Linked DNA regions of Mus musculus: regions 1, 2, 3, 4, 6 and 7 are each reported to be linked to region 5. Evidence: microRNA targets listed by miRTarBase, many of them from high-throughput screens and not tested one by one. Region 5 holds a microRNA gene; each other region holds the end of a gene's coding sequence.

The links. The annotated mature microRNA mmu-miR-876-5p reads UGGAUUUCUCUGUGAAUCACUA and lies in region 5 at 1,445-1,466, opposite strand. An mRNA with a match to its seed (bases 2 to 7 or 8) in the 3' UTR can be bound and repressed. Matches are read on the target gene's strand: a 7mer-m8 pairs with bases 2 to 8, a 7mer-A1 pairs with bases 2 to 7 and ends in A, and an 8mer does both.
Region 1: the mRNA of Luc7l2 is a reported target of mmu-miR-876-5p. The part of its 3' UTR that is shown has no 7-base or 8-base seed match.
Region 2: miRTarBase lists B2m as a target of mmu-miR-876-5p. Seed matches in the 3' UTR shown: 7mer-A1 at 2,823-2,829.
Region 3: the mRNA of Exoc8 is a reported target of mmu-miR-876-5p. Seed matches in the 3' UTR shown: 7mer-m8 at 2,175-2,181.
Region 4: the mRNA of Nmrk2 is a reported target of mmu-miR-876-5p. Seed matches in the 3' UTR shown: 8mer at 1,271-1,278.
Region 6: miRTarBase lists Slc3a2 as a target of mmu-miR-876-5p. Seed matches in the 3' UTR shown: 8mer at 1,213-1,220.
Region 7: the mRNA of Bpnt1 is a reported target of mmu-miR-876-5p. Seed matches in the 3' UTR shown: 7mer-m8 at 3,077-3,083.

Annotation. Positions count from the first base shown.
Region 1 is chr6:38,607,667-38,611,734 of GRCm38, reverse strand. Luc7l2 (LUC7-like 2 (S. cerevisiae)) reads right to left here. Exons shown (of 10, transcript NM_138680.3): 10 at 2,265-3,582. The coding sequence ends at 3,405. Among named protein-coding and RNA genes, the nearest start is that of Klrg2, 28 kb to the left of the region's middle.
Region 2 is chr2:122,151,456-122,155,511 of GRCm38, reverse strand. It overlaps B2m (beta-2 microglobulin), which reads right to left. Exons shown (of 4, transcript NM_009735.3): 3 at 3,837-3,865; 4 at 2,430-2,861. The coding sequence ends at 3,852. All of the region lies in intron 2 of Patl2 (protein associated with topoisomerase II homolog 2 (yeast)), which reads left to right. Among named protein-coding and RNA genes, the nearest start is that of B2m, 5.8 kb to the right of the region's middle.
Region 3 is chr8:124,891,676-124,895,743 of GRCm38, forward strand. Exoc8 (exocyst complex component 8) reads right to left here. Exons shown (of 1, transcript NM_198103.2): 1 at 1-4,068. The coding sequence ends at 3,801. Among named protein-coding and RNA genes, the nearest start is that of Exoc8, 4.0 kb to the right of the region's middle.
Region 4 is chr10:81,195,807-81,199,874 of GRCm38, reverse strand. It overlaps Nmrk2 (nicotinamide riboside kinase 2), which reads left to right. Exons shown (of 7, transcript NM_027120.2): 6 at 165-271; 7 at 429-1,705. The coding sequence ends at 514. The region is part of intron 1 of Atcayos (ataxia, cerebellar, Cayman type, opposite strand); the gene reads right to left. Among named protein-coding and RNA genes, the nearest start is that of Atcayos, 3.2 kb to the right of the region's middle.
Region 5 is chr4:36,643,978-36,648,045 of GRCm38, forward strand. Mir876 (microRNA 876) reads right to left here and starts at 1,476; the gene lies at 1,396-1,476. All of the region lies in intron 2 of Lingo2 (leucine rich repeat and Ig domain containing 2), which reads right to left.
Region 6 is chr19:8,704,484-8,708,551 of GRCm38, reverse strand. It overlaps Slc3a2 (solute carrier family 3 (activators of dibasic and neutral amino acid transport), member 2), which reads left to right. Exons shown (of 9, transcript NM_008577.4): 8 at 275-358; 9 at 458-1,670. The coding sequence ends at 829. Among named protein-coding and RNA genes, the nearest start is that of Slc3a2, 7.4 kb to the left of the region's middle.
Region 7 is chr1:185,356,216-185,360,283 of GRCm38, reverse strand. Bpnt1 (3'(2'), 5'-bisphosphate nucleotidase 1) reads right to left here. Exons shown (of 9, transcript NM_011794.3): 9 at 2,515-3,806. The coding sequence ends at 3,658. Among named protein-coding and RNA genes, the nearest start is that of Eprs, 4.8 kb to the left of the region's middle.

The sequences.
Region 1 (4,068 bases), not on the chromosome of region 5:
TTTGGGTCTAGCTCCTTCAGTTGAGTATATGAAGTTACTCATTGCTATATACATTAGCAATTATTTCCATTGTGTGGATGCACCGCAGTCTGATTTCTGGTTGATAGATCTTTCTAATATTTGTGGTTTGGGGTTACTATAAACACAACTGCTTTAAGCATTCAAATACAAATCTGTGGAGTCTCCTGGTTTTTTTTCCCCCTTGGGCAGCAAGACGACTGAACTGTGTTATGGACATGCCTAATTTATAAGCAGCAGCTGTGCCATTTTCAGTCCTTTTGGGGGTTCCAGTTGTTCACCACCTACACTAGCACTTGATATTGCTATACTGCCCCTCTGTGGGCCATTTCAGTAGGTATGCAGTGGTGTCTCAATGCTGATGGTCTCAGGTACTTTTTGTGTATGTGTCCATTGGTGTTATCTATTAGTGTGATTCTGATAAGGTTCAAATATAAAATCTTAAGAAATAGCCGGGCAGTGGTGGCGCACGCCTTTAATCCCAGCATTCATGAGGCAGAGGCAGAGATAGGTGGATTTCTGAGTTCGAGGCCAGCCTGGTCTACAAAGTAAGTTCCAGGACAGCAGGGCTACACAGACAAACCCTGTCTTGTCTTGAAAAACCAAAAAAAAAAAAAAAAAAAAAAGAAAAAATTGAAAATATACATAAAGCTCTTCTAATATTTAACATATTACACACTATTTTTATATGTATGTGGATATTTAACTGCATCATTTGAAATAAGTACCAAATATCATCTCTCACATAAATACTAAAAATAAGGTTTTTTTTAATGTAGTGCAAGTTTATCATTATATAAGTTAACAAGTTTTTTCCAGTCTATATAATCTCTCAGTTTCTCTATTTTTTCTTACTTTTTTCCTCCAAAGGGCAGGGTTTTTCTATTGTAGCCCAAGTTGGCCTCAGAATCATGGAAATTCTCCTGACTTTCATGTGTCTAGATAACAGGCATGAAACACCATGGCCAGCTAGTCAAAAATCTCTTTTAGATCTAATTAGACTACAAACACAGTTATTGGTTAACCTAAATCTTTGACTTTTTGAAGAAAAATTAGCCAGTTGTTTTGTAAAGTAACATACATTTAGAACTTACCTTATTTTCTATAAACTGGAATTTGGACTTCGATTCACTATAGGCCTATTTTTGAAATGGGTCCTTTATGTGATTTCAAAAACCACACTTTTACAAGTGTGCTTTGTATAAGGCTTACAAGCTGCTGAGGCTGGTGTTGAACTCCAAATCCACTCTTAGCTTCCGAACTACCCTCAATTGTGGGACCAGAGCACTCACCATGCCTTGCTCAGCAGCAAAAACTTTTGACAATATAATTTTCATAATGCTAGGAACTGAAACTGAGACATCAAACAGGAAATGGAAGTGCTTCAATCCAGCCCTCAAGTCATTTATACTGCACTTTCTTTGGGGGAAAATTCAGGAACCTAAAACACATATAACTCACACCCCAATTTTGCTAATTGATTTTTTTTCATGTTTTTCTCAGTTCAAAAGAAAAAGTTAAAGTAAAAAAGACTGTAACAATGGTGCTTTGGAAATAGGGCAACACCACGTACAGTTATCCTTCATAGATGTTGGCTTTGTCCCAGGCATTCCTGACAGTCTTTTATAAATGTGTTCACTTGGTAAACTGGAAACAGGAGTGCCCCTACCTGACCTTAAACTTGCCAAGCACATGCCTCAGCCTCACAAATGCATCAGCACTGAGATAATGGGCATAATTTATCATGCTTTTGTTCCTTTCTGCTGTTAAAAAAAAAGTTTAAACTACACCCGCTGGTCTGTGCCTATGTTCCCAATATTTAGAAGGCTGAGACAAAAAGTTTGCAATTCAAGGCAAGCCAAGGATACATGAACAAGATCTCATCTCTAAAACTCAAGAATAATCACACAAATGGCCATTATTTTTCTGCTCTTTCACATTCACAAACGGTCAAATACCTGTCATTAAATTTTGGGAACTGCCCTCCACCACCAACCACCCCGAAATAGTATTTTAACTGGGTTTCATTGTACACATCTATAATCTTGAGCAGTGAGGCAAAGGCTCAATCAAAGGTCAGGAGTTCAAAGTCATACCCTGTTAACACAGTGAATTCTAGGTCAGCTTGCACTACATGAGATCTTACCCTTCAAAAAGTGATCTTAATATATACTAACTTTACTAGTTAATATATTATTTCCCCTATATTCTAGAAGAACAAAAGGTGTTTGTTAACTACTAGGTAGTCAGTAGGTAATTAGATCTTTAATGCAGAAACTGCTGTTTCAGTATGTTGGTTACATATGGTTTTTATTCAGGCTTGTCAATTAAGAAATACAAACCAAGCAACTCTTAGTTGCTTCTACAGGTTCACTCTTTCCTTACAGAAGCTGCTCACTACAGCTCTGAAGTATAGTATAGGCAGCAAGAGATTTGGGTGGAGCAACAATTCATCTGAAATCCAGAGTTAAATATTTACTTCCTTTGGTGCCTTATACAGAAAGGCACTGTTAAGATGTTACAAAATAGAAAATAACCACAGCAAATAGTTCTAGTGGCAACTTACTATCAACAAGTTACAGTGGTGGTGATGATTCTTTTCATTTTTTTTACAATTATAGTCTTTAAACTCTACACACACACACACACACACACACACACACACACACACACACAAGTGCTATTATGAAATAGTCCCTGCCCCCCCACCCCCCTCAATATACTGAACATAGCAGTTTCTTAGAACAAAAAAAAAAAAAAAAAATCAAGGCAAGTCTGATTTCAAATTTTCAATATAAAAGCAAAAGTATGTAATGCAACAGCTGTTCAACTTCCAACTCTATAGGCCCCTAACAAAACAGCCCCGTGTTTAAATGTCTCCAGCACACAATCCAGTAGAAATGCTCAACTGTAATCAACTAATAACCAACGTGAACAGAACCTTAGAAAAGAAGTTACAATACTTCCCTTCACCCTCTCCTCTTATAGTTGGAGGAACAGGTATCAGGAGATATAAAAGTCAAAGGAAGAAGAATTATAATGGAAAAAAAAAATCCTAAAGCTGCTGCTGTTTGGAATAGAAAAGAAGACAATATTTTACAAATGTTCAAAAACTGCAAGACATTAACACAATTCATTCACTATCACTCCTAACTTGAAAGAATAGAGAACAGTATCTCATCATATAAACTGTTATGTTCAGGTTCACAAAAAACTATGGATGTAGTTTTAGGCTTTATGAAGGAAAACAGGTTCAGTTCAAATCATTGGATACTATACATCTAGTCTGACTGGATCGGTGTCTAGAACTGTCACCCTTTACAACTATAAACAATAGCATGTAACTCCATGGGAAGCTTAAGGATTGAAGATATGTACACAGCTAGTTAGATCTCCCCTGCTTCACGCTCTTCAGAGCTCCTCCTGTCTTCTGATCTGCCATTAGCACTCTCATAGGACCGCTTCTTATCTTTTCGATCTCGGTCACGAGGTGATCTGTCTCTTGAACTCCTGTCTCTGTCACGTGATGCTAAGTCTTGATCTCTGAATCTTTCTTTTGAGGATCTGAAAAATATTAATTTGAGGAGCAAAATATGTTGGGACACCCAAAATCCAATGAAAGAATAGGATCAATATTTTCTGATAGCTGAAGAAATAGGTAAGAATATATCTGAGAAGAGAGTTTCTTATAGAATAGAGTCCTACTATACAGCTGAAAAGGGCACCAAAACAAAATTGGGAAGAACAAATAGCTATACAGTTAAGGGCAAAAGAGCCTAAACTAAACAATGTATTCTTAGTATTTCAGAGATAAAGTTTCTTCAACTAATAAAAAGGCATTTAGTATAAAAACAATATATAAGTAATTGCTTTTATAAGTGAAAAGTATCAAGATTCCAAATTGGATGGAAACCAATGAATTTGTACAGCAGTCATCTCTTGTGCTAAATAAGGATTTGAAGTGTTGTAAATTACAAGATCAGGGTGTATGAGTTATTCTTTTCTATCAACTTTAAAAATGACAGAAATGCAAAACCATCCATAGCTTTC
Region 2 (4,056 bases), not on the chromosome of region 5:
GAAAGGATCCACTTCCCCACATCTGTCACTCTGCAAGCTACCCTGAGGTCCTTTCCAAGGTGGAGGGTGGGGTTCATTCTCCCAGGTCCCTCACCCAGGTTCATCTTGAGCTCTTGGCTGCTGCAGGAAGCAGTCTTTGGAGGTGCAATTCTAGTCTTCTTTCCTTCTACTGAGTTCCCAGGCTTCCAGTGCAGTCTTGTTCTTGTGATGTCTCTGTGCGATGAACGTCTCTGCCTTTTCTCCAGGTTATGGAGGAACTTCCCATGAAGTTTCCCTATGCACCTTAAGCCCAGTAGTAACACAGCCACTTTCAGTCCTACTGAAACTTCACTAGCCAAACAGGATGAAACCTTCACAGAAGAAGAGACTGAAGATCAAACAATACACCTAGGACCCTAAGGAACTTTATCCCAGGAGGTTGCTGGGATAAATCATCTACATTCCATAAATATCATGTACTGGGGGCCTAGGAGGTGCCTCAGTCTTGGAGCTGAAGGACCTGGGTTCAGCCCTCATCCCAGAAAAGTTGAGTAAGGTGCTATGTGCCTCTCACCCTAGCACTGGAAAGGTGGTAACTAGAAGATCCCTGGGGCTGGATGGCCGGCTAAATCTCCAAGCTTGCCGTTCACTGTAACTCTGCCTCAAAATATAAGGTAGAGAGTGATAGCAACTGGAGAAGATATCCAGCAGCAACCCATCCTCTGATACATACATACATACATACATACATACATACATACATACATACATACATTCATGCACTCTCTCTCTCACACACACACACACACACATACACACATATCCCCCCATACAACACATGCACAACCCACATACACATGCACACACACATGAACATACATGCACCCCCTGCATGCATACCCTTACACAAGCATATATACATGCATGCTCCCTCCTCACACACAAACGTATACACACAAAAAAATAACTGGAAGGCTTAGCAGTTAAAAGTACTGGCTGCTCTTCCAGAGGACCCCGGTTGAGTTCCCAGCACCCACATGGTGGCTCACAGTCATCCATAACTCTCTAGTTCCAGGGGATGTGACTTCCTCCAGATGACCTCTTCTGAACTTCATAGGCAGTAAGCATGCATGTAGTGTACATATGTACATGTATCATACACAAAATTAAATGAATCTAAATTTACAATAATAACAGTTGTGTGAAATATAAATAAATAAATAAAGCTTTGTGATGCAAGATTGATTGTCCCACTTCTGGCTTATGGTTACTATTAATCAGTAATTGTTATAACAAAATACCTGATACAAGCTACTTAGTAAGAAGAGATTTACTTAAGAGTTTGGAAATTTCAAAATGTTAATGATAACCAAAGGTTCCTCTTTCCCACCGACAGCAACAGAAGACGTGCCTCAGGAAGGGCAGAAGAGGCCAGGCTTGCTGCCTTCCTTTTTTTTTTTTTTTTTTTGGGTTTTTTGAGACAGGGTTTCTTTGTATAGCCCTGGCTGTCCTGGAACTCACTCTGTAGACCAGGCTGGCCTCGAACTCAGAAATCCACCTGCCTCTGCCTCCCAAGTGCTGGGATTAAAGGCGTGTGCCACCACCGCCCGGTTGCTTGCTGCCTTTCTAACAGCCCTCTCAGAACTCAGACGGCTCCTTGTCCCTTGACAGGACCTCCCACCACACTCCTTCTTAGAGCCCTCACCACTTCTCATTATCACCACCCCCAGGGACTAGATCTCCAGCCACAAAAGGAGCTTTGGGGACACAATTAAACTCTCAAAATTAAGAGCTCAAGTCATGGATGTTATAGTAACTTTTGTAAGATTAGGATTCAAACTTAGTTCCAAATTGATTAGCATTCCCTCTTTAACATTAGCCAAAACTCTGAACTCAGAGTGGGGTTTTCAGACTGTGTGCTGTAGACCCAGCAGAATTTAACAGGAAACACAGTAGTCACCCATGCTCTACCTACATCCAGCAATAAGAACCAGTCCCTAGCTTTTGCATAATTTGCCACCAATAACCATAACTTGCACCCCATAACCATAACCTGCACCCCAAAGTATCTGGGCTTTCATCCTAGCATACAGTCCTGTGGAGCCAGCAACAAGCTGTGCACATCACCAAGACAAACTGTAAGATGTGATCTCTGCTCTAGAGCTCCCTGTGGGACCAGCACGTCTGAGATCCTCACTCCCCTCTCAGTTTCTTCCTATTATTCCCTGACCTTCATCACCACCTCCTACTGCTCTGCTTTGGAGGCCTTTCCTAGTCACTTTCCTCTCGACCCTTAGTTGAGGAGCCTGCTTCTGCAAGAACCTTCTAAGATACCCACTGCCTCTTTAGATGATGAAAAATACGCACGTGCTTGCAGGCATTTATGCTACCTAGAAACCACTTCATGTAACACTGGCAATGTCTGGCAACAATTTTTTTTTTTTTTTTTAGTTTTTTATTTTTAGTAAAAGTAACAAAAGCAGAAGTAGCCACAGGGTTGGGGGTGAGAATTGCTAAGCATTGGGCACAGTGACAGACTTCAATTAGGCCTCTTTGCTTTACCAAAAGGAAAGTATGTCACTTATGTTGTGATAGACCAAAGATGAGTAACTGCATCCAAGTAATGAGAAGTACAGAGGGTTTGGCATATGATCAACTATTGTTCTTAAAATTATATTTATTATTCTGATCAAAATACTTATTGAAGATTTATTGCTCAGCTATCTAGGATATTTCCAATTTTTTGAAAACATGCATAAAATATTTAAAGTAAGATATAAAGAAGGTGATGTGTACATTGCTATTTCTTTCTGCGTGCATAAATTGTATAGCATATTAGAAACTGGATTTGTAATTAAGCAGGTTCAAATGAATCTTCAGAGCTGAAAAGAAAAGGGGAAGGGAGGGAGAGAAGGAGAAGGTTAGCCGAACATTACATTATTTACATTCCAGACCTCACCATCAAATGAGTTTGTAGGACAATCACCTTCTTAAAGGAGGTGAGTTCTGGCTCCACCATTTGGTAACTGCTTGTCTGGGCAGATCACCCATCCCCACCCCCTTCATCAATTCCCCTTTCCTAGAAATAAATATAATACAAGATTTGAGTGAGCTTTTGGCCTCAAGGGCCCTGGATTTCACCGAAAAGCTGGATTTTCTACCACTAGACTCCACCTGACAGAGACACCCACGTTCCCTCTCACGCTCCTCAACTTCCTTCTGACACATCAGTGACGGTGCCTTACATGAAGTTACAACCCTGTCCATTTCTTTCCCTGAGTGTCCGGAAGCCTCCAGAAGGTAAATCTAGTGCCTACCAACTAGAGACTGAAAGGGCTAAGATGTACCCGCAGAGCTCTGTCACTCGGCTCCTCTGGGTGAGGAGCAAGGCCACTGCTGTACAAAGACAGCAAGCTCATCGTCCCAGGCCTTCTCAGCAGAACTGGCAGGGTTAAAACAGAAGGTCGGCAAACCCATGCAGGCTGTGTAACTGACCACCCGCCTGCCTACCTGCCTACCTGCCTACCTGCCTTGCTGCATGCACAAAGGTGCTGTTCTCCCTTTAGAGGGCCAGTGACATGGCTACGTTCCTCCTTCCTGCCAGTCCACAGGATAAAAGAATGTGACCCCAAAGGATCCTTCTGTAGCTGATCAAGCCACCCTAATTAATGTCTTTCATACAGTGATGCTTATCATGTTTGAGCTGTCTATAAACAGCTCCTAGGATAGTGAATCAAACAATTCTCTTCCTGCAGTGCTGGGACCAGGACTCAAGGCCTTATGCACGCTAGGCATGTGCTCTACCGCCAGCTCCACCCCACCCCCAAAGGCCCATTATTTAAAGTCAAGAAACCTACCATCATGATGCTTGATCACATGTCTCGATCTATGAAAAAAGAAAATGGAGACAAAACTTTACTTTTATACTACGACATATTAACAGACATCCAGGGGTTGTAAGCAGTAAGGCAGATAGACTAGGTTGCTGTTGCTAGCCTTGAGTACTTGTTGAGAACTTTCCAGAGATCCACTCCTGTCTACTAGCTTCTTGCCAAGGCCCTGGAACAGTCCAGAATT
Region 3 (4,068 bases), not on the chromosome of region 5:
GGTGAGTAAAGGTGAAATCAGCCAGCACACCAAGTTTAATGCTCCTGTGGCCAAGAAGTGGACCATGGACATCTGACATGGTGGTTCCTGTATCAAAACCGTGACAAGAGGGACCTGGATGCATAAGACAATTCCTTCTGCCACAGTCAAGTCTGCCACCAGAGGAGCTAAAAGGCCAGGAGAAACACTACCGTTGGAGACATCTGCAGGACACAGTAGATGGGTTAATGTATGTAACAACAAAAAGGGCCTGGTTTGGCATAGCAGCACCTAGCTAGACATGAACTTTATACATGTATTCCCATAAACAAGATAAGCAAGGAAAGGCTTATATTGCGCACACAATCTATCCATACGTATAACTTTTACTACAAGTTTTCAAAGATTTTTTACATTGTGTATGAACACGTGTGCAGTACCCAAGGCCAGAAGGTGTCATTTGCTGAAAGTGGACTAATGATTTTGCGTACTAATCCTGAGCCTGCCCTCGAGAGCAGCAAATGTTATTTTTTGTTTGCTTGTTTTCTTTTTAAGCCACCATGTGGTTCCTGGGAATTGAACTCAGGACTTCTAGAAGAGCAGCCAGTGCTCTTAACCACTAAGCCATCTCTCCAGTTCTCTGGTTTTTTTTTTTTTTTTTTTTTTTTTTTTTTTTTTTGTGGTAACAGCATCTATGTAGTCCTAGTTGTCCTGGAATTCATTATGTAGACAAGGCTGGCCTCAAACTCAGATCTGCCTGCTTCTTCCCAAGTGCTGGGGATTAAAGGGTGTGCCGAGAGGCCTGGCTCTCTCTCTCAGACAGGGTCTGTCTCACTAGGTAACCCTGGCTACCGAAAGATCCTCTTGCTTCTGCCTCTGCAATTCTGGAATAAAAACTGTGTGTCACCACACCTAGCTGAGCATGTCTTTAATCCCAGCACTCAGGAGGCAGAGGACTAGAGTGAGACCCGTCTCAAAACAAGTAAATAAACAGAATGTTATAGCAATCAGTTCTATCCAGTGAGAATGCTATAAAGCTTTATCAGTTTAAAGGTTGTTTCTCACAGTACATCAAAGTGTAGTGTTCAGCAATGCTTGCATCTGCAGCAAGCCCCAGCTGCTTAGCCCTAACTAATACCAGGTGCAGGATGAATGTGCTGGCAATCACGGTAATACCAAAGTCACAGCAATGACTTTGAGCATTTCATGACAGGAGGCTCTCATCAGAGGCTGAATTCTCTAACTGAAATTAACCCAGTCTGTGATTCCTGGTCTATGCAGTTAGTTTTAAAGCAAACAAAAGGTGGTTAATGTCACAGCACGTCAGCATGTGTGGAACTACCACTGCTAGACAATCCTTCAAGCTTCCTGCAGATTTCCCAGACTGCATTCCCTCAGCTACACAGAGGAACACATTAGCCCGTTCTTAGCAGAATAAAGTTCTCTACTTCCATTTCCATAAAGATACAGCCATTTATTATGTGGGGAAACATGTTAGCCTTCTTACACCTCGAGGCCTTATGCACGGTTTATCTATTAAATTCCAAGTGGCACCAAATCGGCATCGCAGCCACACAATTTCATCAAATCCAAGTCCAGTGAGCTTAAGAGAAATGAGTACATTTGTTTGGCTGGGACATCCAGTTATGGTTATGTAGAAAACTCTAACTTAGCAAGGCATAGTGGAGCATAATTTAATCCCAGCACTCAGGAGGCAGAGGCAGGATGACCTCTGTGAGTTCAAGACCCGCTTGGTCTTCATTGTTGATTTAAATCAACAAACCCTAACATGGGAAAGTGGAAGGCTGCAGTGGTGACCTCTGCGATCTTTCTATGCATGGAGAGCTAGAAAAAGACAGAGAAACTGCTGGCCTGATGAGTTAATGAAGCTGAGGAGTCTTAACAACCCTGAATCACTGCAGAAGCCATTTAGGGTTTTACATCATTTTATGGCTTACTACTACCTCTTTTATTCAAGAGACAAGAAATAGCCTTTAGACCCAATGGACATAAAAACATGGCATCGTTGACAAAACCCACAGCTACAAGCTAGTGGGAAAATGGGTTTCAGCACCCACATTCTAACAGGACATTAAGTGATCAGAGCAGAGCTCACTTTAGAAATCAGGGGCAAGCCGGGCATGGTGGCGCATGCCTTTGATCCCAGCACTTGGGAGGCAGAGGCAGAGGCAGGAGGATTTCTGAGTTCAAGGATAGCCTGGTCTACAGAGTGAGTTTCAGTACAGCCAAGGCTATACAGAGAAACCCTTGAAAAAACAAAAAACAAAACAAAAAAACAAAAAAAAAACCAAAAAAAGAAAAAGAAAAAAAAATAAAAGCTTAGGGGCTCCACCTACCCACCTATCCCTACTCAACAACCTGAAGTAAGTATTACAATCTGGAATTCTCTTAAAAGTTGTTTTTAAGGCAGGGTCTCTACAGATCCCTGGCTGTCCTGAAATTCACCTTGTTGATCAGGCTGGCCTTGAACTCAGAGATCCGCTTGCTCCTGCCTCCCAGTGCTCTGATTAAAAGTGTGCACCAGCATGCCAGGCTCTTGTTTTTTAAAATGCAGCACAGCATTTGAAGAGTCACAGAAGGTCCCTTCCCTGTGCTTGAGGTATGTGCATCTCTACTCAGTTACTAAGTTTCAAAAACCATCAGGGCAGCAGGTGTAGCAGTGGGTAGGGTGCTTGCCTAGTATGAGAAAGCCAGGGTTTTTTTTCTCCAACACAGCATAAATAGCATTATGGCACATTCCTGTAATCCCAGCCCTTGGGATGTGGAGTCAGGATTAGAAATTCAAGGTCATCCTTGGTTACAGCACCAGCCCAAAACCAGTCTGGGCTGAAACTTATCTCAAGAAAACAAAATGACCAAAACCAAATCTCTGGCATTCTTAAGGAGTGACATTGCATTCTTTTTTTTAAAACTCCTAACCTACACACAGCCTGAACTCTTCTCAGACAGGGAGTTCTGCATTTGCCAGAAGTCTCAGTGCCTCCAAACCCAGGCTGGTGGTGAAGTGTCTGCAGGGGCTGGAGTCACTTACCCGCCTACTGCTAGGATCCTTGGTGTGGCTTTTCAGCAAGACTTACTTCCTGAACATGGCAAAACACGCTGCAGCAGCAAATCCATTCAGTTCTGGAATATGTTAAAAATTCAACGTAGTCCTTGTGATTCTCCCACCTCCCCCAAAAAGATGCATCCAATTAGCCATGGAACATGCTACTTTTCAGTGACTTTTGGATGCCTGCAAAGTTTTATAAAGGCTTCCTTCCACATGCTACAAATACTGACAGACCTGAGGCCCACATATTGAAATTTATCCCAAACCAGTTTTCCCAACTCATTTCTTTTCATGTTGATCTGTCTCAGTACAGGACACAGGTGTGTCACACAGCACTGACCATTACGAAGCCATTTTGTTGACTTGGAATGTTTTACAACATACTTAAACCCTGTGGACCTAATATTTTTCTAGGCAGCATGGAAGTGCACTGCTCCTAGATGTGCTAACGTGAGAAGTGTCTTTCAAGTTAAAGAGTAGCCTGAAATGTTCTGGTGTGACCATACACTCTACTTAAAGAATTATTAAAAAACAGAGCAAGACATGGTATGTGCTCTTGACAGTCCCAGTATTGGGGGGTTGTATGTGATGCTTAACACATTATCTTTCTCCTTTTGACTGCATTTTTCAGAGGGCACTTTTATATGCTGTCTGTGTCTCTGAGGAATGTGCTGACATTGTGTAATGTAAATACAAATGACGCATCTGTAGCACGTGTACACGTACACACACAAAGACACAGAGCAGAGCCTCAGACCACAGAAGTCGTGCTCTCGGGATTCACCCGCAGGAGCCGGGATGCGTTCCGGAGGTCCTGCAGCTGCTTGGCGGGCTTCCCCACACCTTCCTCAAACCTCCTCTCCACCACCGGGAGGACAGTTTCATAGAGAAAGGATGCGTTCTGCCTGATGAAGGCCTTCTTCTCGGGGTCCTGCTCACAGCGCAGGCTGTAGTCCACATGCTGCACAGCCACCAGGATGATTTCTACCAGGCTCTCCAGGAGCACCATGTGGAGCTCA
Region 4 (4,068 bases), not on the chromosome of region 5:
GGCTCAATGGTGGGGAAAAAATGTGGAAGTTGAGAATCCCACAGCCACAGCCTTTGCCCAGGGATCTATCTAATCCTTCATCCAGAGCCTGTCTGCTGATTACTTGCAGTCTGCCTTGAGCAACAACTTCCCACGACAGGCCTGGAACTCCTTTCTCTCTACAGAAGCCGTACTTACATGGTCCCTGATCCTCCTGGCCTGTTTGATGGTCACGTGTGGCCCATGTACCAGAAGTATAGACGGGAGATGGAGCAGGACGGGGTGGAAGTGGGTAAGAACCAGAATGAGGCTCTGCCAATGCTCTAAACCCCAGGCTTCCCTACATCCCATTGAATCCCATCCCGGGCTCTCCTGCTGCTCTTTCCTGTCCTGAGAGAGTCCACACTGCTCTCCCTACCAGTCCTGACCCAGTCCCTTTCCGGTTTCAGTCTATTTAGATGGCATGAAGTCCCCGGAGGGACTCTTCCATCAAGTTCTGGAGGATATTCAAAACAGACTGCTCAACACATCCTAGCAAGACGCAGGTCCTGGACAGCAGGGCCTGAGATGTTCTGACTGGACGCAGTGGCTCTTCGCCTATAGGAAATCTGTACATAGGAGGGCATGTCCCCACACACGTGCAGTGGGCACGGACACTGTGAGATTTTCTAGCACCTCAACATTAAAGTGGACTCTGTTTTTTAACCTGGCGTCCTGTATGGTCCCTATGAGGTGAACCTCTCTCAGACCCTTTACTGGCACCTGGTGGCCTCTGTGGGTAACCTTGTTGATGTGCCTCAGTTTCCCTAAAGGAGACATTCCTCATGAACTTGGGTAAGGAGAAACAACATCTACCCTAATGTAGACAGGCACAGAGAGGTCACCTTTGGTACTCAGAATTACACAGTAAGTTGGTGTGTCCAGCTAGAAAGCTTCTCTGCCTAAATAGGATGGAATTCTAGAGAGTTCCCGAGGGATTCCTGAGATCTTTCTTCTCTCATCTGAGCCTCCCTCTACTTCTTTCGGAAACCAAAGCCAAGTCTCACTCTATAGGGTTATTTGGAATCTCCTAAATACACACACACAACACATGCTGCCTGTCCTGCAACCAGCATACCTGTCTCCTCTCACACACAACCATACACCCCCTGAACCATGGTGACAGTCTCAGTGTGATTTTTTTTTGTTTTTTTGTTTTTTGTTTTTTGTTTTGTTTTTCGAGACAGGGTTTCTCTTTATAGCTCTGGCTGTCCTGGAACTCACTCTGTAGACCAGTCTGGCCTCAAACTCAGAAATCCACCTGCCTCTGCCTCCCAAGTGCTGGGATTAAAGGCGTGTGCCACCATTGCCCAGCTCGGTGTGTTTTTTATTACTTGTGTGGACTTCATAAAAGGGAAAACTGAGGCTCTGAGCAGAACATTTCGGTGGTGCTGGAATGTAGATGTGGAGGAGAGTCGGCTTCAGAGATTTTATTCTTTGGCCTGAGGGTGACACCTAATGGCCATCTGTGGAATTGCAATGACAGAATCCCAATTACATATAGAAAAATGCTATAGTAGATGAGTGGATGGATGGATTAATGGGTGGATTGATGGATGGATGGACCGACGGACGGACGGACAGATGGATGGACGAGTGACTGAGTAGTAGTGTTCTGCTAAATAACAAGTCTGAAGCCTCCTTGTCTACATAAGACTTTGAAAATAAAATTGTTGCTTGTAATTTTAAAAACATGCTTCTTCTTTTGCCTGGGACCTACTGGTTTCCACCTTCTTTATTGACCAAATCAAGAACCAATTAGGGAACTAGATTTTAGTATCAGCTCCACCCACACATAAAATAATATAAAAAAATACAATAAATTATAAAATTCGTTTTCTTTTTTTCCTATCCTTTTCTTTCCTTTCCTTTTCCCCTGAGACAAGGTTTCTCTGTGTAGCCCTGGCTGTCCTGGAATTCACTCTGGCCTTGAAATCAGAGATCTGTCTGCTTCCCTTCAGAGTGTGGGGTTAAAGGCGTGTGCTATCAACGTCTGGCTCTTGAATTCCACTTTCTAACACTTGAGTTTTACCTTCAAACTTAAGGGTATTTTGTTTTGCTTTGGGATGGGGCTCCTGTACTCATTTCTATTTCTCTTGTCATGCTGCCCCAATCAATATTAGTGAGACCTGCCTTCTGCGTGACAGATGTGGGGTGTCCCCACACCCACAGGTAGCAATGCAGACATCTGTCATCTCCCCAGCTGTAGAAGTCCTGTGACCAACGTGAGGAGCTTCCCTGTAGGGTCGCAGCGTCAAGGTTAAGCAGAGGCTGAAAGCACAGGACTGGAACAGGGTTTATGCTTGCCAAACCCAGGCCTTTGTCCCAGGCACAACTGTGGCCAGACTCATCTGCTGGTCACGTCCCCCAAAATAGTTCAGCATGAGACAGGGACATAAGGGAGATGACTTCAAGGCAGCCAGAGCCTGGCCACTCAGGCACCGTAGACATGATTCATAGAATAAAGAATGAACTTGGGGCTGGAAGGATGGCTCAGTGGCTGCTCTTGCAGAGGACGGGAATCAGTCTCCAACACCCTCAGGGTGGCTCACATGCACTTGTAATTCCAGCTCCAGAGGACATCTTTCCGGCCCCTGTGGGTACTGCACACATGTGGTACACAGACAAAAATGCAGGCAAAATATCTATACACCTAATGAAAAAAAAAAGTAAAAAATAAACTGGGGGCAGCAAGAGGGCCCAGTAGGTAAAGGAGCTTGCTGCCAAGTCTGATGACATGAGTTCCATCTTCAAGGCCCTTATGGGAGAAGAAGGAAACCATTCCTACAAGGTATCCACTGACCTCTACACATGTGCTGTGGCATGTTCACGTGCCCCCCCCACACACACACATGTACACACCAATGTAATATGAACATTTTAAATGCTGGGACCAGCATCAGAGTCACTGGCTTGCCCAGTCTCCCCAGAACATCCCATGTCCTCAGGGACCCCACCCTCGGCTCACCAGGCGGGTGCACCTGTGTCGGGATGGGTTTATTGCGTGTTCCAGAGGCCTGGGATGACTCAGAAGAGGTAGGTTTCTGACCCGTGTTCTGTCTGTCAAGCAGAGCCTTGCCAAGAAGCCCTGCCCTTGGGGCCTCCTTTGGGTCCTAGCATGCTGGGGAAAGCCCCTCGAAGCCTTTCCAGAGGGACAGAAGGTTCCAGGGTCACCTGCCTACCCCAACCTTCTCCTAGCAAGCTGGCCAAGCCGAGGCCTCTGCTGGCCTCTGTTAGTGACGTGTGCCTCTCCCACCCACTCAGAGAGAAGCAAGCTCCCCCACAAACACTCCAGACATTACCAGCATCCCTAACTGGGCCATAGGACGGTCCAGGACAGACACAGGACACCCTGACATTGACGCCCAGAGGAACAGTGTATAAAATGGATTCCTCTACATGGCTAAGAATACTGAGGCTCAGGGAAGATGGAGTCCCTTGTCCAAGGTCTGTCACAAAAAAAGGTGGATTAGAGCTGGGCATTCTGACATATCTACCAACCCAGCACTCACTTGGAGGTGGAGGCAGGAGGATCAAAATTTCAAGGTCATCTGTGGCTACATAGTGAGTTGGAGCTACATGAGACTCTGTCTCAACAAACAAACAAACAAAAACCTCAGGTTGGTGATTGTGTCCTCGTGAAGGTTCTCGGTGGGGGCTGGGGACAAGTGTCACATTGGGGGAGCTCCAGACACAGAGTGGGACACTACTCAGCACCTTCCAGAATGCCCCACACAGAACACCCAGCCAGACATCCCCACAAAATGAGCTCAAGGTTCCTCTGTCTCCCGTATGGGTTACCGTGCTGATAGGGACACTCACAAGCCCCAGAGCCAGCAGTGGGGCCTCGTGGCTGACCCCTCAGCTCTATTGTCCCCAGATCCTGAAGAACTTGGCCTGTGGGACCTAGCAGAGCATAAGGTCCCCTGCCTGGCTGGATTTCCAGACTCCATACAGACACTGCTGTGCCTCAGTTGAGTTGAGTCCTAGGGATTCTGACCAAGGTCCCCACGCACTCGAGACAAACACTTTATCCACCGAACCAGATTC
Region 5 (4,068 bases):
AATGGTGTCACAAGAAATCGGAGATAAATACAATCTATCACTACGAAAATCTTGTTGCCATATGACTGAGCTTAGATTACACCTAAGTTCTAGCCTTCAAATAGAAGAGCTCATATACCAAAACTAAACAAAATTTTTGGAGCTTATACCAGCGATTGAAAAACTAATGGTGAAAGGTTGGGTTTCTGTTTCTAGAATCAGCACATTTAACAACACTAATGAGGGTAATAACCATGAACTTCCTGTTGTTTCCCAGCAACTGGTAGGTAACATGATAGCAACTATACTCTTTAGCCTTGTGAAACTTACTCATTTTAAAGATTATTCTAACACTATGAGTATGTATATGAGTGCATCTGTGTGTGGGAACATGCACATTAGTGTAAGGTCCAACATAGGCCAATAGAGAGTGATAGAGAGTGTCAGATCTCTTCAGCTGAACTTATTGGTTTCTGTGATGCATATGATGCAGGTGTGCAGCAAATTGTACCCTGGTTCTCTTGATGCACAATCCAAGTTCTCAAACATTGACGATGGCTTTAGACTCTTACTAAATTTCTTTGCCATTAAAAGATGACAGAAGCTAAATTTGTAGAGAATTAATGATAAATAATGGCAAATTAAGTATACAATTTTGTATATTTTGGCTAATTCTGTGTCTGTATCATTTGAATAGTATTAAAATTTAGTTACTTTTAAAATTATTTTAAAATAATGATGTTTATAAATTCCCTGATTAATTTCTATTTGAATTGCATAATCAGTAAAGTCACTGGATAAGCTCTCTGTAAAAATGTTTCCTCTTTATTAATATATATATATATATATATATATATATATTTGTCCAAGTAATAGTAACAGAATTAAATTTCAAAATGTTTCACTTATAATTAATGGGTGCAGATGTCAATTCAGTGCTTTTGTTTTGGATCTACTGCATTTTTAAAAATAGGGCATACTGCCAATTGTTGGGGCAGGTGTTGCTAAAAAAAACAAGAACAGACTGTGCATAAATGTAAAATACACACACACACACAAACACACACACACATATATATGTGTGTGTGTATATATATATATATATACATATATATATATATATATATATATATATATATATATATATATGAGATATGAGATGGCCTGGCAATATGTAATAGGCAGTCCTCAAATGCTGCCATCCTCCTGCCTCAGCTTCTCAGGTGTTATATTACAAGCAAGTTACAATATATGTAGCTTAATTTTCCAGTGCTTGACATATCTTTGCTTCTTGTTCTCTAATTAACAAAGTAACTGTTTATGAAAGGTTTAAATCTTATAGCTTAAGGATTTGTTCTCAATGGCCCAATGAAGGATCCTAGGTTTCAAAATACAGATCAACTGTAGGAGCACCTGTGAAGCACTATGAATTACTTTGTAAACCACTACCACACTAGATTTGATATAGTGATTCACAGAGAAATCCATAGCACGTGACAGTTTATGTAATGCTTGTACACATGAACATAAAAATTATATGCTACCATGCCCAGAGTTTGAAAAATTATTCAAGACATCTTTTTATCGTTCATATGGCATTAAAATATAATTTAATTTAATTTTAACAACATTTGAGCAAGAGAATAAACATTCATGAATCAACAGGTTTTATATATATAGTATTATAATATATACATTTTTAATTGGTAAAATAATAAGAAACACTGAAAAAATCTGAAAAATACATAAAACCAAATTATACTTTCCGTATTATGTATCAAGGTAGATCAATTAGAGGAATGAGCAAGAACAACCAAGAGATGAAAGAGAAGTAAAATGCCCACTATGCTCATAGAATTGAGATATGGATATTAATATAACCTGTGGGAGGAGAGAAGTAAAATAAGGAATGACATTTCATACGTGCATCTCACATTACAACATACACATGATGTGGTTGTTTTGCTCTAAAAATAGTCTCAGTTAGCCTACATGTATTTTGCATAAGTTCTTAGATTTTATCTGATTTTTTTTCTATCTTAAGTTTGAGTTCTGCATGTGATTGGCTGAAACTCTCTGAGGCTACTTAAATATATGTTAGTTTCCTCACTAGGTTCAGCTTTGAGAAACAAAACAAAACAAAACACCAAAGTAACTGAAAAAAATCTCTAATGGGCACTGCTTTAATAAATTCACAGGAATGAAACATCTTTCGTTTTTCTCCTTTGTTATGTTTGCTTCAATGGTAACATTTATCTAAAGATTTAAAAGAAAACTAGAATTTTAATTTATGATCATTAAAAAGAAAATAATTTTTAAATTTTAATGGACTAGGATTATATCTCTCAGGCCATCTATGGATTTGAGAATTTTGACTTTTTGTATGTATACCATGAATGTCAATAATAATTAACATACAATATTTTTCAGAAATTTGCAAATCTAACATCTTAGTGTGTTCAAAACTGTCACTACATATCACTGTGCATTCCCAAGTAAAACAGGGAAGTAAGGCCAGACTGGCTGGCTAAGCAAGGAAAAACTTTAAGTGGAAAATAAATTGTAAAATTATTTACACATTCATATATACTTACCGTATGGCTGGTATATGACGTACATAATGCTTGCCAGGTATAAGGAAGTAAATGCAAACCCAATACATACCCTAGCTTCAAGAAACAGATAAAACAAAATAAATAAAACCAACAAGAACAATTGTGTTCCTTAAAAAGGGTCCACATAGATTGCTTTAGAGTCCACATTATCCAGTCATAGCAGGAGGTTTCTGTGAGAAATTACTTAGTTGAAAAATTGAAGGTACAATACAATTTAGCAATGAGGATAGGATTAGAACATTTGAAGCAGACGGGGCACATTAAAAACAGTAGAAAGAAGAAATTAAAATGTCATCTGTTCTCTGCTACACTACTGCTGAAAGTAGAAAATTACACAAAATTTAGATATAAGTGAAAACTAGCAAGCATGTCCAGATTGTAGACAACAAATGAGAGAAATTAGAAAATAAAGATACTAAGCAACATTAAGCCTGAGAAATGTGCATGACAGATGTGCATGGCAGATGTGCATGACAGATGTGCATGGGAGATGTGTATGGCAGATGTGCATGGAGATGTGCATGACAGATGTGCATGGCAGATGTGCATAACAGATGTGCATGGCAGATGTGCATAACAGATGTGCATGGCAGATGTGTATGCCAGATGTGCATGGCAGATGTGCATGGCAGATGTGCATGGCAGATGTGCATGGCAGATGTGCATGACAGATGTGTATGGCAGATGTGCATGGAGATGTGCATGACAGATGTGCATGGCAGATGTGCATAACAGATGTGCATGGCAGATGTGTATGCCAGATGTGCATGGCAGATGTGCATGGCAGATGTGCATGGCAGATGTGCATGGCAGATGTGCATGACAGTTGTACATGATAGAGAAACAGCTGTGTGGAAAGGCCCTAGGATTCAAGGAACATTGTGACACTCAGAACCAAACTGGCCCAGAAGAAATCTCCTGAGAAATCAGGCAAATTTCCTTTTGAGCTTCACGTTGAGTGGATGAAATACACTCAGAAGTCAAGGAAGATTTGAAAACAGATAATTGTGAGGCCACAGACTTTCCAAACATCCAGGAATGAGCTCAAGCTACAGTGAGTAAAGGAGGATTTCTGAGGGTTAGATAAATTCTAGCATTCCCAGAAACTAGTTCACAGCTATTAAAGGAAACATTTCCCTTACCTATGGCAGATGAGACATATGGGTACAGGGAAATATATCCATGGTGCCTATTAGCTTATCAAAGCCCATGCTGGCCTCTGTGTTCCTTCTGTACCACAAGTACATTTCAACATGCATGCTATAGATCTCACAATGTCCAATCTGGTTTTCTTTCTCTCTGTTACAGACTCTTCAAGATAGATCCAGATGTTTTCTCTCTCATATCTATAATTGAAACCCTCCCTAATAATAGAGTTGCCAACTCAGCATTTTCTTTCATCACCTGAGGAATCAGGCTAATTTTCTGTTTGAGCTTCACTATACCAGCAGGGTAGATGAGATAAATTTCAGAA
Region 6 (4,068 bases), not on the chromosome of region 5:
ACATTTCTTTGTTGGACGGTAGTATTTTACACCCATTGGCTAGAGGCTTTGAGCGCTCTGGGAACTGAAGCTTGGTGAGAGTCTGGACAAGCAGAAAGGTACATCTTGTAGTGGTGACCAGATGAGGTCCTGTCCCGGGGCCATGCCACAAAGGCATCATACCTGCAGAACCAGCAGAGAACAACACAAAATGATGAAATGGAAAGAGAATGGGAGGAAGGGGAATGGACCCACCCTTTTTTTTTTTTTAAGTCCCACATTCTCTGTTTGTTAGCCTGCGAAGGCCCCACTCATGCCGTGGAATGAGTCCAGCATCTTTCACATCCCAAGACCTGTAAGCCTCAACATGACAGTGAAGGTAAGCAGTTGAGGCCTGCCCCTCAGGGTGGGCAGGTGCTGTACAGATGGACAGAGATCCCCCTCATTCCTTCCTTCTGTGTGTGTCTATCATTTTCAGGGCCAGAATGAAGACCCTGGCTCCCTCCTTACCCAGTTCCGGCGGCTGAGTGACCTTCGGGGTAAGGAGCGCTCTCTGTTGCACGGTGACTTCCATGCACTGTCTTCCTCACCTGACCTCTTCTCCTACATACGACACTGGGACCAGAATGAGCGTTACCTGGTGGTGCTCAACTTCCGAGATTCGGGCCGGTCAGCCAGGCTAGGGGCCTCCAACCTCCCTGCTGGCATAAGCCTGCCAGCCAGCGCTAAACTTTTGCTTAGTACCGACAGTGCCCGGCAAAGCCGTGAGGAGGACACCTCCCTGAAGCTGGAAAACCTGAGCCTGAATCCTTATGAGGGCTTGCTGTTACAGTTCCCCTTTGTGGCCTGATCCTTCCTATGCAGAACCTACCACCCTCCTTTGTTCTCCCCAGGCCTTTTGGATTCTAGTCTTCCTCTCCTTGTTTTTAAACTTTTGCAGATTACATACGAATTCTTATACTGGGTGTTTTTGTCTTCAAATAAAAACATCACCCCTGCCTCATGAGATTGTGACTTTCATCCTTCCTTCCTTCTAGAAGAACTTTCTCTTGCTCCTGATCTCTTTTGCTCCTCCCTGCCCCTGCCATAGTCGCAGCCAGTTGTAGACAGCTATTCCAGCTCTCTTTTTTTTTTTTTTTTTTTTTTTTTTTTTGGTTTTTCGAGACAGGGTTTCTCTGTATAGCCCTGGCTGTCCTGGAACTCACTTTGTAGACCAGGCTGGCCTCGAACTCAGAAATCCACCTGCCTCTGCCTCCCAAGTGCTGGGATTAAAGGCGTGCGCCACCACGCCCGGCCGCTATTCCAGCTCTTAAATTAATCATTTAGAGACCAAGGCTAGAGAAGGGCCCTTCCATGGTTAACAGCAAAGTGTCTTGGCTGGAGTAACCACACCTCCTCGCTCTGGCCCAAGAATCTTGGGAATTGCCAACTCTTCCTTATCTCTCTTAGCACAGTCTTTAAGAAAAAGGGTGGGGTGAGTTGAAGACTGCATACTGCCAAGGGCCTGGGGCTTCCCTTCTTTACTCTTTGGTGAGGCACTTACCATATAGACAGGACTGCGATCCCCAGTACCCAGTGGATACCCCATCTCCAGAAAAAGCCAACAAGACAAACCCTTTGCTTCCTTAGGCTATGTTATCTCTTGTGTGGAAATGGAGAAGAAATAAGGAATAAACATTTTTTGTATGAAGGATATGGATGAGTGATCAAAAAGGAAAAGGAGCTGGAGAGATGGCTCAGAGGTTAAGAGCACTGGCTGCTCTTGTAGAGGCTGCCAGGTTCAGTTCCCAGCATCCACACGGCTCACAACGATCGTTTACTCCTAGTCTTGGGATCAACACCCACTTCTAGTTTTGCAGGCACCAGGCTTGCATTTGGTATACAAGTATAAGCACAGGCAAAGCACACATACATAAGAAGGAAAAAGCAAAACTAGAAAGATGTTTTTGAGAGCAGGTTTGGGCTTGAGAGCAGGAGACGGTTCAAACAAGAGAGGTGAGTTAACTCATGAATGTGGCCCAGTCCCAAGTCATAAACAGGTTATACTGTTACAGTGTCCGAAGTTAGACATGGGGTGGGTCTGGAGAGGATATTGGTTATACGAATGAGAGCATGGTTGATGCTCAGGAAGCAGGAGTAAATGAGTAAGGAACGAAGGTTATTCAGCAAGGGGTGGGCAGATCACAAAGGGTTTCATAAGGCAGTCAGAGGTGCACAGTTTGGTAGGCTCTGCGGGTCTGTGGGACTATCCTAAAAGCAGTTGCAAGCCACTGTCTGACTAGCTCCCTCAGGTTGGCTATGTGCTAAGATGAGTCACAGGATCGTTTATTAGTGAAAGGACAATGAGCTGAAGGAAGAACTACATAGGCAGAGCCTGAGGGGGCAGAGCCTGGGGGGGCAGAGCCGGGGGGGGGGCAGAGCCTGGGGGGGCAGAGGGGGGGGTATAGGAAGGTTTCTCTTCTCCCAGTACCTGCCTTAGCCATAAATGGTACCAAGAAGCAGGAAACTCACTTGAGCCTTAGGTGACCAGAGTTTTGGATTATCTCTAAGAGTTTCAGTGGAGCCAAGAATGAGGAATGATGAACTGACCCTCCTGCCTCTACCTGTTAGAATCACAGGCATGCCTCAATCTGCCTTCCTTGTTCCTGTTTCTTGTTTTCTTTTTGAGGCAGTGTCTAGCAATGTAGTCCAGACTGTCTTCAAATTTATAGCAATCTCCCCTCAGTCTTCTGAGTACTGGGATCACAACGTGCATCACCAAGCCCTCTTTCCTTAGAGTAATCCTATCAACCATGTGGCTAACCTAGTTTCCAGCCCTGCCAGAGGCTCTGGAGCAATACTTTAAGGCCATTTCCCAAAGAGGTTGAATGCTCCATGCCTCACTACGGCAGCCTAGTTGATACCCACCAAACAACTCCTAAGACAAAACCTAGCAGCCTAGAAATGATCTTGAAGCTAAGGACAAAGGCCAGACTTACAAGCAAGAGTCATTCAGAACTGTACATAGTGTCAGAAGGAGTGCAATAGGCGTTGTGGGCCTGGTTTTAGCAGGCTTGATGTGTGATTAGTGGAGGAGAAGGGAGGTAGCTGAGGCAGGTTTGGGACTGTGATGAAGGATATGTCTATGGAGGAGGAAGTCAGTGGAGGAGGTGGTGGCATCATGCATTGACTCTGCAGGCCAGTTCGCAGGATTTATTGTCCTTTTGTCAGCCAGTGATTTTTTTTCTTTTTTTTAAAGTGGGCCCCATAGGCCTTAGTGTTAACTTTGCCTTCAAAGTCTTAGGAACAAGAACCTGGTGGATATTTTGGCTCTCCTAGCCTTGGGGAAAAGAACACGTTGGACCCTGTGTGTAGGCTCTACAGCAGGCTGGAACTTGCTGTGGCCTGGGCCTCTGAGGGTATTCTGGTGTAGAGGACAGATCCAAGCTACTAAAAGACCTAACTAAGATCCAGCCTTTGTTTCTTCATCTTGCTCAGTGACAGAGCCTGAGCCTTTGAGAGGAGTCCATACTGACTCCCGCTCTGAAGACATACACCGCTCTCCCTCCCAGCCCCATTTACCCCCTGGCTTTTGTCTCTTGTGGACCTCTTCCTGAGGCTGCCCACCCCTTCCCTCTGTTTACTTTCCTAGATCCTCCCCCCCATCTTCCCTCTCTCCTCTTCTTTGCTGCCTAGTTGTTTCTTTCTTTTTCTTTCTTTTTCTTTTTCTTTTTCTTTTTCTTTTTCTTTTTCTTTTTCTTTTTCTTTTTCTTTTTTTTTTTTTTGTTTCTGGGCTAAGCTCTAACTATGTAGCCCTGGCTGGAATGCATACAGATATTCCTGCTTCCCCTTCCCTTGTGGAACCGCCAAAGCTATCGCCCAGGGGATCCATTTTGACCCAGATTTTACTGTGAAATATTGTGGTGTTATTTTCTGATTATTTTAAAAGTTCTTTTACTTTTTATTTTTACTTTTTTATGCATGTACTTTATAGATTAGAGAGGTGTCTTGGCAAGTAAGAGCACTTTCTGCTCTTGCAGAAGACTTGGGTTCAGTTTCTAGTTCAGTTTCCAAATGGTGGCTCACCCATAGCTCCAGGTCCAGGCTCTC
Region 7 (4,068 bases), not on the chromosome of region 5:
CCCCCATTTCTAAAAACTCAGTTTATCTCACTGTTCATAGAACTGTATGCCAGCAAGAAAGAAAATAAATGAAAACAAAATAGAATGAAGCAGTGATGATCAGATGTGGTGGAGTTACAAAACATGTGGTTTTGTCAAATTAGAGTGGGAGCAAGACAGAAGGACTGTTTAGAAACAACGTGGGGGAGGGGAGACTATAAGACATCAAAGTAGGCCTTAAGAGTGGAGGTCTAGCTTGTCAGTTTTGTTGTATGTTTGAGGCAGGTTCTTACAACATAGCAAAAGTGGGCCTCAGTCTTAGAATCCTCCTGCTTCAGCCTCTGGTGTACCAAGATGGCAAATGTGTACCACCATACTAGGCTTAGAGTTTGAGCATTTTAATCCAAATACATATTGTGTGTTTATTGTTGTTAGTTTCAGGCAGGATGATATTGTTGCCAGAGTTGGTCTCACAGAATCTTCAGCACTCTAAGTCGAGCATAAGCTACTGAGAATTCGTTGAGCTCTACATTTGTACGTCTGGGCAAAGACCTTATGTGAAGTCGTTTATTTGGAGGTATCAGATAATCTACTGAGAAAGTGGAAAGCCAGGAGTACAACCTCAGCCAACAGTGACATCTGAGGGAAGGAAGACAAGGAGAGAGCAAAATGACTGAGGGCAAGCAGCTAGAAGGGAGAGAACGAAAATCAGGAGTTACGAGAGGGAGTGATCAAATCCTTCGAAGCCACAGATATGCCTTCCTGTTACTAGATCCTGACAGTCCTATAAAAAAGCCATGGATGTAATCCCAGTGAGCAATACAGTAATTATCCCAAGATCAGCATAAAATGTAATTACTTTTAATTTTTGTGTATGTATGCATGCCTGCATAAGTTATGTGTGACATGTGTGCAGGTGCCTTAAAGGGAGGGAGGGTGTCAAACCCTCTGGAACTGGAGTTGCAGGAGATAGTGAGCTGCCTCTTAATGTGTGCTGGGAACCAAATCCAGATCCTCTCTAGAGCAACAAGGACTCTTAACCCCTAACCTATCTGTCCAGCCCCACCCCCTTTTTTTAAAGAACAGTGTCTCCCTGTATTACTTAGACTTGAACTCTTCATCCTCCTGTATCCTTCCTAAGTTATTGCAATCACAGGCAAAGCCACATGCCCAATGTAGCCTTTTTTTTTGGTTTAAAGATTTATTTATTTTATGTATGTGAGTACAGTGTCATTTTCTTCAGACACAACAGAAGAGGGTACCAGATCTTGTTACAGATGGTTGTGAGCCACCATGTGGTTGTTGGGAATTGAACTCAGGACCTATGGAAGAGCAGTCAGTGCTCTTAAACCTCTGAACTATCTCTCCAGCCCCAAAAGCAGCTTTCTGAAAGCAAAATCAACCAATCAACCAATCAATCAATCAATCAATCAATCAGAATTAGTGCATTGAAAAAAATTTTTCAGGTGAATCTGTCATGCAGTTGTTTTGGAGACTGCTGCTCTAGTAATTAAACCCAGGGCCTTAAACATTCTGAGTGTGCATTCTACTTGCTTCATCCAAAAGAACAGACAGAGACCAAAACAGTAAAAAAAAAAAAAAAAGCCATGGGGGGAGGATATAGTTTAGTTGGTAGAACATTGGACTGGTATGTACAAAGCCCTGGATTCAATATCCACAACTGGAAAAAAAAAGTGAAAAAAAAAAAACATTAAAGTAGGAGAGTGTATTAGGGCTTCTGTTAAGGATTGGAACAGTCAGAGGTCAGGGAGAATCAGGGTCAAACATGACCGCTACACTCATGAGCTCACAGCAGCTGAGGTTGCCTAAGACCCCACCAAAACCAAGATCAAGCCTGTTAACATTCCAGCTTGGCAGGGGAGGGGCATCTACCACCATCTCACGGCATGCTGACATTGATAGCTTCTGTAGGAGTAAAAGCTAGCTTTCTTTAAGGGTGCAGCTTCTGGTAGGCCGACTACACTCAGTGGATGACCACTTACCAGAGAACATGGACAGCAGAAACTAGACTTGGTCGTTACTGTAAGAAAAGGAAAAGAGGCTGGGAAGTGGTAAGAGGTGGAGTGGGTCTGGGAGAGGTTACAGGCGTGTGAACGTGGTTGTGGGAAGGAATGGCAATTATGATCGGCACAGACCTTTGCCTGAATGAAATACCCAAAGATTTGTGAACATCACATTTAAAGAAGACTCTTGTGTTGCTGTGACAAGTGCCAGAGGGAAAGATTTCAAGAAGGTTAGGGGTGGGGCTGCCAGGAGGGATGGTGGACAAAGCAGCTCACCTTACGGCAACCAGACAGCAGAAACAGAACCCGTGGCACTTGGCTTTCTCTGTCCCCTTTCATTCCATCCAGGCTCCAGCATAGGCGATAGTGCCGCCTACATTTCCAGCTCAGCTCATCCTTCCTGGGAGCCCTGTTTCCTGATGTAGGTAGGGCTTCTCAGTCTACTGAAGGTGACAATCAAACTGATTGTACATTCTCTCAGGGGAAGGAATAAAGGCAATTACCCAGCTTTCCAATTATAGATTTTAATAACAAGAGAATAAATTAATCCTCACATTATTTATAATTTTCAAATACTTTTGAAAAAAATCTGATATATAATATGAAAAGATAGGACTATGTATTTTAGAGAAACTTTCCCCCATAAATCAACATAAATAATATCATTATATGCATTCTTATTTGGAATCAGAAATTTTAAAAATTACTGTGAAAAAACAAAACAACTGAAATTCTGGAGTAACTTAAGACTCTGTGCCCTGAAGAAATCTGGTTTATCAGCAGGAATGTTGACTGCACAAATGACTTGGACAGTCATTTGAAACTAACCCTTTTTCATTTCTTCACTTAGAAATAGTAACATTTGAGCCAGGTGTGGTGGGGCAAGCCCTTAATCCCTGCACTAAGGAGGCAGAGGCAGGGGAATCTCTGAGTGCAAGGCCAACTTTGTCTACAGAGTGAGTTCCAGGACAGCTGGGGCTGCACAGAGAAACCCTGTCTCAAAAAAACAAAAACAATGCCGGCCGGTGGTGGCACACGCCTTTAATCCCAGCACTCGGGAGGCAGAGGCAGGCGGATTTCTGAGTTCAAGGCCAGCCTGGTCTACAAAGTGAGTTCCAGGACAGCCAGGGCTACACAGAGAAACCCTGTCTTGAAAACAAAAACAAAAAACAAAAAAATAAACAAACAAAACAAAACCCACAAACAAGCAAACAAACAAAAAGCCCAAACAACAAGAGAAAGGAAAAAAAAAAAAACAAAAAAACAAAAAAAAACAACTGGTCCTGTTAGCTAATTAGTAAAATTAAATTCCTTTTTTGTTTTCCTTCTCTGTGTTTAGGCATATCTTGCTATGTAATGGAGGCTAGGCTCAAGCAATCCTCTGATTCAACCACTGGAGTAGCTATGACTATTGTAAGTGCCACCACACCTGGCTAATTTGTTTTTAGGCAGGAGAAATGACAATCGTATCATATACTTAAGTCTTAAGCGTATTAGATGATGTGAAGAAAATTCTTTAATTCCATCTTCTATCCCTAACTACTAATAAATCGCTGATCAATGATAAATGCAGGCAGAGCTCCAATTGTTCAATTAGTAATCAGTATTAAGATGTGTTCCTTTGAACCAAGGCCTCTGGGTAAGTGAGACCCCTTCATGGAATGAGCGCATTTTTGACCGACTCTGGAACATGGCTTGCATAGTACTCGTAGTTCCTCAGTGCAGCCAGGACACCGGCAGAGTTCATATGTTTCACCTCCTTGTTGTACTGCAGGGCATTCCCATGGATGTCTGTCAACTTCCCTGCAGAAGAACATCACAGTCAGTGGACAGCTGGATCAGGATGTTTCGAGGGTCATTCTTTGGGGGACAGGATGGAGAGAACTAAACCCCAGGGCTCACACTAAGCACAGGTTTTACTACTGAACTATGTCAGCCTTCTTCTTTTGTTTTTATTTCTGAGAAAAAGTCTAAGTTGTGCAGGCTTGACGTAAGATCTCACTGTACGCTCATTCTAACGCCCTGGCTGACTTGGAACTTACTAGGGAGGTTACTCCTGAACTTG